3 linked regions of the Anolis sagrei genome follow. The protein of the gene in region 2 interacts with the protein of the main gene of each other region in a biochemical or structural test. Links are inferred from orthologs where the notes say so. Each region holds a gene or a part of one and is shown on either strand. Other genes may lie near its edges. The genes, in order: RLIM, UBE2D1 and RNF4.

The links.
Region 1: the proteins of UBE2D1 (region 2) and RLIM form a complex in vitro, tested with the Homo sapiens proteins (5 studies listed by BioGRID). The link is inferred for Anolis sagrei from reciprocal best matches to the Homo sapiens genes UBE2D1 and RLIM.
Region 3: the proteins of UBE2D1 (region 2) and RNF4 form a complex in vitro, tested with the Homo sapiens proteins (12 studies listed by BioGRID). The link is inferred for Anolis sagrei from reciprocal best matches to the Homo sapiens genes UBE2D1 and RNF4.

What each region holds. Positions count from the first base shown.
Region 1 is NC_090030.1:32,286,745-32,290,499, forward strand, and holds the start of RLIM (E3 ubiquitin-protein ligase RLIM), read right to left. Parts: upstream 2,465-3,755; 5' UTR 2,267-2,464; intron 1-2,266. UniProt on the Homo sapiens protein: E3 ubiquitin-protein ligase.
Region 2 is NC_090023.1:178,057,393-178,061,147, reverse strand, and holds the start of UBE2D1 (ubiquitin-conjugating enzyme E2 D1), read left to right. Parts: upstream 1-1,266; 5' UTR 1,267-1,531; coding exon 1,532-1,555; intron 1,556-3,755.
Region 3 is NC_090024.1:46,924,192-46,927,946, reverse strand, and holds the start of RNF4 (E3 ubiquitin-protein ligase RNF4), read right to left. Parts: upstream 2,251-3,755; 5' UTR 1,912-2,250; intron 1-1,911. Other genes in the region: YTHDF3 (YTH domain-containing family protein 3), read left to right, coding at 2,790-2,813. UniProt on the Homo sapiens protein: E3 ubiquitin-protein ligase which binds polysumoylated chains covalently attached to proteins and mediates 'Lys-6'-, 'Lys-11'-, 'Lys-48'- and 'Lys-63'-linked polyubiquitination of those substrates and their subsequent targeting to the proteasome for degradation.

The sequences.
Region 1 (3,755 bases), on a different chromosome or scaffold from region 2:
ATAATTATATATTTTATATTACATGTAATATTCCTAATAATTTTACAGTATAGCAGTATAGTACAGTATAGTAATATATAATACTAATATTGTGCTGTGCCAATAATATAATATATTGTATACATATATAATACTGATAATATTATAATGTAATACAATATAATACTAATAATAATACTACAATATAATAATTATATTTTATATTACATGCGATATGACTAATAATATTACTGTAAAGTGGTATTAGTACAATATACTAATATATAATACTTTTATATTGTCGAAGGCTTTCATGGCCAGAAACACTGGGTTGTTGTAGGGTTTTTTGGCTATATGGCCATGTTTTAGAAGCATTATATCTCCTAACGTTTCGCCTGCATATAGATGCAGCTCCTCACAACTTCTGAGAATGCCTGCCATAGATGCAGGTGAAATGTCAGGAGAGAATGCTTCTGGAACATGGCCATATAGCTGGAAAAACCTACAACAACCCTATAATACTAATATTGTGCTATGCTAATAATATAACATTGAGTCTCCCAAATGACAAAATCATAATTTTTTGAGTGATGGTCAGTCCTTGTGTTGTGAGACGTTTTGTTGCCAAATTTGGTGTGATTTCGTTCATTGGTTCTTTTGTTTTTAAGGTTCTCATTACGCACAGAGCATGTATATACATATATGTGTGTGTGTGTGTGTGTGTGTTTGCCATTTTACTTTTTTGGAAGCCTCCCTGAGTCCCCTCAGGGAGACTAATTATGTGTGTGTGTGTGTATGTATGTATATACACACACACACACACACACACACACACATAATTAGTCTCCCTGAGGGGACTCGGGGAGACTTCCAAAAAAGGAAAATGGCAAACATTCAATGCCATACACACACACACACTCCCCCTCAGGGAAAGTGGATGGGTTAAAAAATAAAGTTGATTATGATTATATTCCAGTTTATATCAGATAATCTGGGATCAGATCCTGGGAGAAAGGGCAGTGTGGACTCAGGAAACCCAGTTCAAAGCTGACATGGTGGGTTCTCTGCCTTGATGTTCTATGGCTGTGTAGAAGGGCTCTGAGTCCCCGGCCCTTTCCACACAGCCATATCTCCCTGAATATCAAGGCAGAGTCCACAGTGCTCTCTGGATGTAAGTGAACTACAACTCCCAAACTCAAGGTCAATGCCCACCAAACCTTTCCAGTATTTTTTGTTACTCATGGGAGTTCTGCGCGGCAAGTTTGGTTCAATTCCAATGTTGGTGGAGTTCAGAATGCTCTTTGATTGTAGGTGAACTATAAATACCAGCAACTACAATTCCTGAATGACAAAATCATAATTTTTTGAGTGATGGTCACTCCTTGTGTTGTGAGACATTTGTTGCCAAATTTGGTGTGATTTCATTCATTGGTCCTTTTGTTTTTAAGGTACTCATTACGCACAGAGCATTTATATATATATATATATACACACACACATATATATGTTTGCCATTTTACTTTTTTGGAAGCCTCCTTGAGTCCCCTCGGGGAGACTAATTGTGTGTGTGTTTGTGTATGTATGTGTGTGTATATATATATATATATATATATACACACACACACACACACACACACATACACATACACACACATAATTAGTCTCCCCGAGAGAACTCAGGGAGGCTTCCAAAAAGGGAAAATGGCAAACATTCAATGCCAGTGGGTGGGTTAAAAAATTAAGTTTATTATGATGATTATATTCCAGTTTAAATCAGATACTCTGGGATCAGATCCTGGGATAAAGGGCAGTGTGGACTCAGGGAACCCAGTTCAACGCTGACATTGTGGGTTCTCTGTTTTGATGTTCTATGGCTGCGTAGATGGGCTCCGAGTCTCCGGGCCTTTCCACACAGCCATATCTCCCTGGATATCAAGGCAGATATCCAGCCCAATCCTCTCACACCAGAAACGACTTGCAGTTTCTCAACGACAAAAAAATGACATTTGTATGCCGCCCTTCCCTCCCCGAAGGGGACTTAGAGCAGCTTACAAGTTATATGTACATACAATATATCAATGCCTGCTTTGAATTGGACCAAATGAGTCCACACGGCTATATAATCCGGTTCAAAGCAGAGAATGTGGGGCTGTGTGGGAATTGTATGGAGGCCATTCCCCTGAAGGCCTCACCAAGCAGGAAACGCAGAGGGAGGAAGGAAGGGCTGCGGCCTAGTTCTCTGTCGAAGCCTGCCTGACTGTTTGCCTCCCTCGGCCGGCTTGCTCACCTCCGTCCGCGGCCTCCTTCTCCCTCCTCTCCTGCGTTCTCCGTCCGCCGGACCCGACGCGGCTGGCCTTCCTTCTCCCTGTCCGCCTGCTTCCTTTCCCCGGCTCCTCTCTCGCCCTCCGTCCTCTCAGGCCGCCATCTTAGGCTCCATTGTTACTAAGGAACTCGGGGACCGGAAGCGGGAGGGAGGAGGGGGACGAGAGGAGAGTGCGCATGCGCACGGCACAGGGAGAGGCCCAGCCCCGTTGGTTTGGGCTCCGTTGCGCACGCAGGAGGCGGAAGTGACGTCTCCCCCCCCCCCCCACTTCTCAGTAACCCATCCTCGTTCGCCACTGACTGGAATGCGTGCGCAGGTGGAGGAAGTGCGCATGCTCCGTTGCTGAACCTATAGAATGCGTGGCGGAAGTGCGCATGCTCCGTTGCTAAACCTATCCGGCTGGATTATAGTGAGAGAGTGGAGAAATGTGTCGGTCATAGAGTGTGGAGGACTGAGGAGAGAGAGCGGCTCAATGGGGGCGTCCATTTTGAACAGGAACTGAACCAAGAAGAATAGAATAGGTCAAGAAGGAAGAAAATAATAATAATAATAATAATATAGAGAAATAATAAATATTTATTGGATAATAATAATAATAATAATAAATAGATAAACATGTACAGGATAATAATAAAATAAAATAATAAAATAAATAATAATAAAATAAATCCAATAAAAATAATTAAATAAAAATAATAAAAATAATAAAATAATAATTAAAATAATTAATAATAATAATAATAATAATAATAATAATAAAATAGATAAATAAGAAATATTTATTGGATAATAATAATAATAAATAGATAAATATGTAGTAGATACTAAAGTCAAGAAGGAAGATAATAATAATAATAATAATAATAAAAAATAGAGAAACAATAAATATTTATTGAATAATAATAATAATAATAATAATAGATAAATATGTAGTGGATAATAATATAATAAAATAATAAAATAAATAATAATAAAATAATAATTAAAATAATTAATAATAATATTAAAATAGATAAATAATAAATATTTATTGGATAATAATAATAATAATAATAATAAATAGATAAATATGTAGTGGATAATAATAAAATAATAATAATAAATCCAATAAAAATAATTAAATAAAAATAATGAAATAATAATTAAAATAATTAATAATAATAATAATAAAATAGATAAATAAGAAATATTTATTGGATAATAATAATAATAAATAGATAAATATGTAGTAGATACTAAGGTCAAGAAGGAAGATAATAATAATAATAATAATAATAATAATATAGGTAAATAATAAATATTTATTGGATAATAATAATAAATAGATAAGTATGTGGTGGATAATAATAATATAGATAAATATTTAATGGATAATAATAAAAAATAAAATAAGTATTTATTGGATAATAATAAAATAGATGAATAATAAATAGTTATTGGATAATAATAATAA
Region 2 (3,755 bases):
ATTCTTGTGGGTCTGTATGTGGCTGTGGAGCCCTATTCTTGCTCTGCATCTTCTTCCGCAGTGAGGGCATTGGTTTCCAGGTGGAAGGTGGTCTCGGTCGGGGTTGGCTTGACACGCCTTCCTCTTGGCACGCTTCTCCCTTTCGCCCTCCATTCGTGCCTCCTCAAATTCTGCAGCACTGCTGGTCACAGCTGACCTCCAGCTGGAGCGGTCAAGAGCCAGGGCTTCCCAGTTCTCACTGTCTATGCCAGAGTTTTTAAGGTTGGCTTTGAGCCCGTCTTTAAATCTCTTTTCCTGCCCACCAACATTCCGTTTTCCATTCTTGAGTTCGGAGTAGAGCAACTGCTTTGGGAGACGGTGGTCGGGCATCCGGACAACGTGGCCGGTCCAGCAGAGTTGGTGGCGGAGGACCATCGCTTCAATGCTGGTGGTCTTTGCTTCTTCCAGCACGCTGACATTTGTCCGCCTGTCTTCCCAAGAGATTTGCAGGATTTTCCGGAGGCAGCGGTGATGGAATCGTTCCAGGAGTTGTATGTGACGTCTGTAGAGAGTCCACGTCTCACAGGCGTATCGCAGGATTGGGAGGACAATCGCTTTATAGACAAGCACCTTGGTATCCCTATGGATGTCCCGGTCCTCAAACACTCTCTGCTTCTTTCGGGAAAATGCTGCACTCGCAGAGCTCAGGCGGTGTTGTATTTCGGTGTCGATGTTGACTTTGGTGGAGAGGTGGCTGCCAAGGTAGCGGAAATGATCAACATTTTCTAATGTTACACCATTAAGCTGTATCTCTGGCATTGGGGAGGGGATGGCTTGTGACTGCTGGAACAGCACCTTGGTTTTTTCAATGTTCAATGACAGGCCTCTGCGAAGGTGTTTAGGGTGGCTTGTAGCTCTTCTTCTGAATGCGCACAGATGACGTTGTCATCAGCATACTGGAGTTCTATAACAGATGTTGTTGTGACCTTGGTTTTGGCTTTCAGTCTGCTGAGGTTGAATAGCTTGCCATCTGTCCGATAGATGATTTCCACTCTGGTGGGAAGCTTCCCATCAACAAGGTGAAATATCATAGCGATGAAGATGGAGACTAGAATTGGGGCAATAACACATCCCTGTTTGACACCGGATTCCACCTTAAATGGGTCACTTTGGGAGCCATTGCTGTCCAAAACTGTTGCCATCATGTCATCATGGAGGAGCCTTGGTCCTTATACAGATAGAAGATAGATAGATGTCAAACACCCTGCACTGTGCGGAGTCATGACTTCATCCGGGCGGCAGGGGGCGCTGCGCGGGCGAGGCTGTGGTTCTGGAACTACGCTTCCCGGCATGCCTCTGGCGGCCTGGCGCCGGTGTGGGCGGGGCCGCGGGGGGTCTTATTAGTACAAGCGGAAACAAAAGACCCTTCGACTGGGAGCGGAGAGGCGCCTCGGCCCCGGCCTCCGCAGCACGGCCCCCGACGCCGACGCCTCTTCCTCCTGGGCTCCCCCTTCACGGCTTCCCCTCAGCGGGCCGCATCCCCGGGCTCCCCATGGCGCTCAAGCGGATACAGAAGGTGAGCAAGGCCGCCCGTCAGCCCGCCCGTTGGGAACGGAGAGAGCGTCGAGCTGTGAGGGCCTCCTCCTCCTTCTCGAGGTGGCGCGCGAGCGAGGGGGTTCCTGACGGGGGGGGGGGGGGGAGGCGCAAGATCTCGCGAGAGCCTGTGCCAAGGCCTCCAAGGGAAGGGCCCCCCGCTTGTGTCGCCTTCGCTTTGTCTGTTCAGGTTGGAGCAGCTCTTATCACTCCTATTTGGGGATCTTGGCCTGAGATGTCTCTTGGGAGCCCTTCCACACAGCCATATCATCCAGACTATCAAGGCAGGCGGTCCCACAATATCTGCTTTGAACTGGAATATATGGCATTGTGGATTCAGATCACCCAGTTCAAAGCAGATACTGTGGGATTTCCTGCCTTGATATCCTGGGAGCCCTTCCACACAGCCCTATATCCTATCAAAGCAGAAAAATCCCACATTATCTGAGTGTGGACTGAGATAACATAGCTCAAAACAGATATTGTGGGATTTCATGCCTTGATATCATGGGGGCCCTTCCACACAGCTCTATATCCCAGAACATCAAGGCAGAAAATCCCACAATATCAGCTTTGAATTGGGTTATCTGGGTCCACACTCAGATAATGTGGGATTTTCTGCCTTGATATCCTGCGATATAGGGCTGTGTTGAAGGGCCCTTAGAATATCAAGGCAGGAGGTCCCACAATATCTGCTTTGAACTGGAATATATGGCATTGTGGATTCAGATAACCCAGCTCTAAGCAGATATTGTGGGATTTCCTGCCTTGATATCCTGGGGGCCCTTCCACACAGCCCTATATCCCAGAATATCAAGGCAGAAAAATCCCACATTATCTGAGTGTGGACTGAAATAACCCAACTCAAAACAGATATTGTGGGATTTCCTGCCTTGATATCCTGGGGGCCCTTCCACACAGCCCTATATCCCAGAATATCAAAGCAGAAAAATCCCACATTATCTGAGTGTGGACTGAAATAACCCAGCTCAAAACACATATTGTGGGATTTCATGCCTCAATATTCTGGGGGCCCTTCCACACAGCCCTATATTTCAGAACATCAAGGCAGGAAATCCCACAATATCAGCTTTGAATTGGGTTATCTGGGTCCACACTCAGATAATGTGGGATTTTCTGCCTTGATATTCTGGGGTATAGGGCTGTGTGGAAGGGCACCCAGAATATCAGCTTTGAATTGGGTTATCTGGGTCCACACTCAGATAATGTGGGATTTCCTGCCTTGATGTCCTGGGGGCCCTTCCACACAGCCCTATATCCCAGAATATCAAAGCAGAAAAATCCCACATTATCTGAGTGTGGACTGAAATAACCCAGCTCAAAACACATATTGTGGGATTTCATGCCTCGATATTCTGGGTGCCCTTCCACACAGCCCTATATTTCAGAACATCAAGGCAGAAAATCCCACAATATCAGCTTTGAATTAGGGTCCACACTCAGATAATGTGGGATTTTCTGCCTTGATGTTCTGGGATATAGGGTTGTGTTGATGGACCCTCGGAATATCAAGACAGGAAATCCCACAAGACAGGAAATCAGTTTTGAATTGGGTTATCTGGGTCCACACTCAGATAATGCATGGTTCGTTCGGACAGGTAAGTTGGGCCAGAACCGTTTAGGGCTTTAGAAGCCAAAGCCTATAAAGCCCTCTAAACCCATCAGAAATTTACCATGGAGTTGTGCTGGAAGATCTTGGGCCGCTCCACATGGCCATATAACCCAGACTATCAAGGCAGATAACCCGCAATATCTGCTTTGTACTGGGGGCCCTTCCACACAGCCATATAACCCAGAATATCAAAGCAGAACATCCAAGAATATCTGCTTTTAACTGGGTTATCTGAGCCCACACTCAGATAATGTGGGATTTCCTGCCTTGATATTCTGAGGGCCTTCCACACAGTCCTATATCCCAGGATATCAAAGCAGAAAATCCCACATTATCTGAGTGTGGACCCAGATAACACAGTTCAAAGCAGATATTGTGGGATTTTCCACCTTGATATTCTGAGGACTCTTCACCACAGTCCTATATCCTGGAATATCAAGGCTGAAAATCCCACATTAGTGTTAATGTTTCATTATTATATTGTCCATGTTTTATTTTTAATTGCTTGTATTGTTGTTATTATTGCTTGTATTGTTGTATTTTGGCTCGG
Region 3 (3,755 bases), on a different chromosome or scaffold from region 2:
GAATAGGCACTGGTGGAGAGAGCACCTACACAGCACCCAACTCCTGTACTGTAGCAGCACAGAGACCTCTGGAGAAATTCAGTGTCTCCTACTTTAAAAAACTTCTGGTGTTTGGATATCAGCCAGCACGCCAACGCCTTAAATCAAGAATGGGTTTTCTAAGATTTACAGAGATACTCACAAGTGAGAGTCCAAAACTGGCAGGCTAAAACCTGGAACCCCAAGACATGGCTGATACTGAATGAGACTCCTCCCTGGGCACACAGAAAACTGGGCTGAACAGACTGCACCTGGCACCATGAGATGCAGAGCCAACCTTATGAAATGGGGCTGCACAGTGGAATCTACGACATGTGAGTGTGGAGAAGAGCAAACCATAGACCACCTCTTACAATGCAGTCTGAGTCCTGTCACATGTACAGTGGAGGACCTTCTTATAGCAACACCCGAAGCACTCCAAGTGGCCAGCTACTGGTCAAAGGACATTTTAGTATAATGCCAAGTTTTTAAAAAATACATTACAAATGTACCCTCGGTTTGCTTCCAATACTATAAATAAATTCCTAAGAAAGGGGCCTGTGGCTTCACAAAAGGCTGAGTCATCCTGGATTCCAATAGGAGTGACTCTGCTGCTGCAGCGATTTACGGTATATACTCGAGTATAAACCTAGTTTTTCAGACTCTTTTTAGGCTGAAAAAGCTCCCCTCGGCTTATACTTGAGTCAAGGTTATTCTTTTACTCTGTTATTAGTAATATTTTATTACATTTATTATTTTACTCTATTATTCTATTTACATTATTTTGCTCTATTATTATTATTATTACATTTACAGTATTTTACCCTATTATTACATTTATTATTTTAATCTATTTATTATTATTATTATTATATTTACAGCATTTCCCCGTTATTGCTACATTTATTATTTTACTCTACTATGACTGTTTTTATTACATTTTCATTATTTCACTGTATTATTTTTTATTATATTTATTATTTTAATAATAAGTACATTTACTTATAGGTTAACATAATGGTTTAATAAGAGTTGGGCAGTCTTATCTTAAATTACAGTTTTATGTAAACATTCAAAAACATTTAGCCTATTGATGCCTCAATTAATGTAATTTTATTGGTATCTATTTTTATTTTGAAATTGACCCATAGTGGATGCATTTCCCACCCTCGGCTTATACTCGAGTCAATACATCTTCCCAGTTTTTGTGATAAAATTAGGTGCCTCGGCTTATACTCGAGTATATACAGTACATTTGACTGGGTTTTTTTTTGTCTTGGCACTCAGAAGGCCAAAATGGGGGAGTGGCTTATGTCTGGATTGAAAACCGCCCTGAACAACTGACCCACAAAAACAACACTGGGTGCAAAACGTAGGCCTGCGTCTCCAATGCCCTCATTTTTCTTCTCTTGTATGCATGATTCTTCAAAGGTCTCTAATGCCCTCATTTTCCTTCACTTCTATGTATGATTCTTCAGAGGGCGCAGAAGCCAGTGGAGCTTCGAAATCTGACATGAAGCGTTTCTCCGCATTTTGCGTTGGCCCAGATAGGTACATCTCTCTTTGGTGGACTTTGTTCCATTTGTTCGAGCTATGCCATGACTCAGCACTAAAAGCCGAATACCCTGAACGCGGAAGGCTTGAAACAACAAAAGGAAAAAACCAAACAAATGCCTCTTAAAACTCTGATAATTCCCCCCGTCTTTTGCCGACTCAGTTCTAAGTCTTCAGCTTTTTTTCTACCCGGGCCAGGACCTTCTTAAAGGCTTCCTCATGCCAGGCTCCCACTCCCTCGGCCGCCATTTCCCTGCTTGGAAGACAGGCCCTGCCTTCCTTCCTTCCTTCCCCTCACACCCCTCCCTCATATTGTTAAGCCTTTGGAGACAATCTCACCGAAATGGGAGAGGAATCTCCCGGGGAAGAAGCGGCGAGGAGCCTGGCGCCGAGGCCTCCCTGTCGCGAGTGCCGATGGTTCAACGGAGGGAAGGAAGGAAGCAAGCCAAGGGGCTCTCTTTCTCCTCAGCCGTCGACTACGGCGTCCCGAGAAAGCGCCGCCTTGCTCACTCCGAGCCGAGCGGTTGAGACGGTTGGGAAAACGGCCTCGAACGCCTTCCTTTTCGAAGCACTCTCACGCCTTTTCCGTTCCCTCAGGATTCTCGCCCGACTCTGTGCGGCTGAGGGAAAGAATGCTGACGTCACTTCCGCCTCCACCCCCACCGGTCGGAGGCAGCACTGCGCCTGCGTCGACGCGCGCGAGCGCCTCACCCTCCTAGACACACACCATACGGGCTCTTGGAAGCTCTTGGAGGCCAAGGAGGCGTGCGCATGCGCCCCTTTCTGGTTCTTCTCCTCCTCCCTCCTTCTCCTCTTCCTTCCCCTTCCCCACGTGACATGAGGCGGAGACGGAAAGGTCGCCTGCGACGTCGTCGTCAGCAGCAGCAGCGAGGGAGGGAGGAGGAGGAGGAAGAGGGGGGAGAGAGCGGAAGGTCAGGGCGCTGCGGAGCGGAAGTAGGAGCCGGAGCGCGTCCGCCATTGTGGGAAAGCGAAGCCCCGAGAGGAGAAGGGAGGGAAGCCGACGCCGCCGCCGCGCTCGCAGCGTCCAGCGGGTTGCTTTCCGAGGAGAAGGAGGAGGGGGCCGAGCTGCGGAGACAATCAGGCGGCGGAGGAGGAGGAGAGAGTGGCGGAGGAAGCGGCGCTTGGAGGGAAGCGGGACCCACGAGCAGGCCCGAGCGGAGCGGAGGGGGTGAGGGGGATTGCGCGCCCCTTGAAGAATGTCAGCCACCAGCGTCGACCAGGTAGCCGGCCCGGCCTCCTTTCTTTCTCCCTCCCTCCTTTCCTTCCTTCCGCCGGGCATAGCGGGGATCCGCGGCCGCTACATCCGCGGCCGAGCGGCGGCTCCTCCCCCGTTTCCCAGCGCCGCCCCCTCGCAGGCCTGGAGGCCGCTGCTCAGCCTCGGGCTCGCCACTGAGGAAGGCCGCTGGGCTGCTCCGGGCCTCTCGAGCAGGCCTTCCCCTTTCCTGGCGCCCTCCGCGGCCGTCCCTCCCCATCCGGGCCCGGCGAGCGGGGTTTTGGGCCCTGAGGGCTTGCCTTCCCCGTCGCCTCCTCGGAGGTGTCTTCTCATCACTGCGACCCCTTCCTGGTTGTGTGTGTGTGTATTTCTTGGAATATGTATATAAATAAAAATGTAATGTTCGTTTGTGGGATTAACAGAACTCAAAAACCACTGGACGAATTGACACCCAATTTGGACACAATACACCGAACAGTCCAACGAGTGTCCATCACCCCTAAAAATACACACACACACAACCCCAGCGGAGCAGACTTAAACCCCCCCCAAAAAAACCCACCATATACACATACACTCATACATATTTACATGCACACATTTGTGTATATATATATATGCACAAACACACACAAATATACACACACATATATACCCAAATATTCATATAGACAAGCACACATACACAATATACATGCATACATATAAACACAAATACACAAATATATACACAGACTAGGCCACAGAAACACGTGGTAGGGGATGGCTTGTGTGTGTGTGTGTGTGTGTGTGTGTGTATATATATATATATATATACACACATATACACATACATTTATATGCCACCCGTCTCACCCCGAAGGGGACTCAGAGCATCTTACAAGTAAAAATACAATATATTATATTATTACTATAGCACAATATTAATATTATATATTACATTGTACTA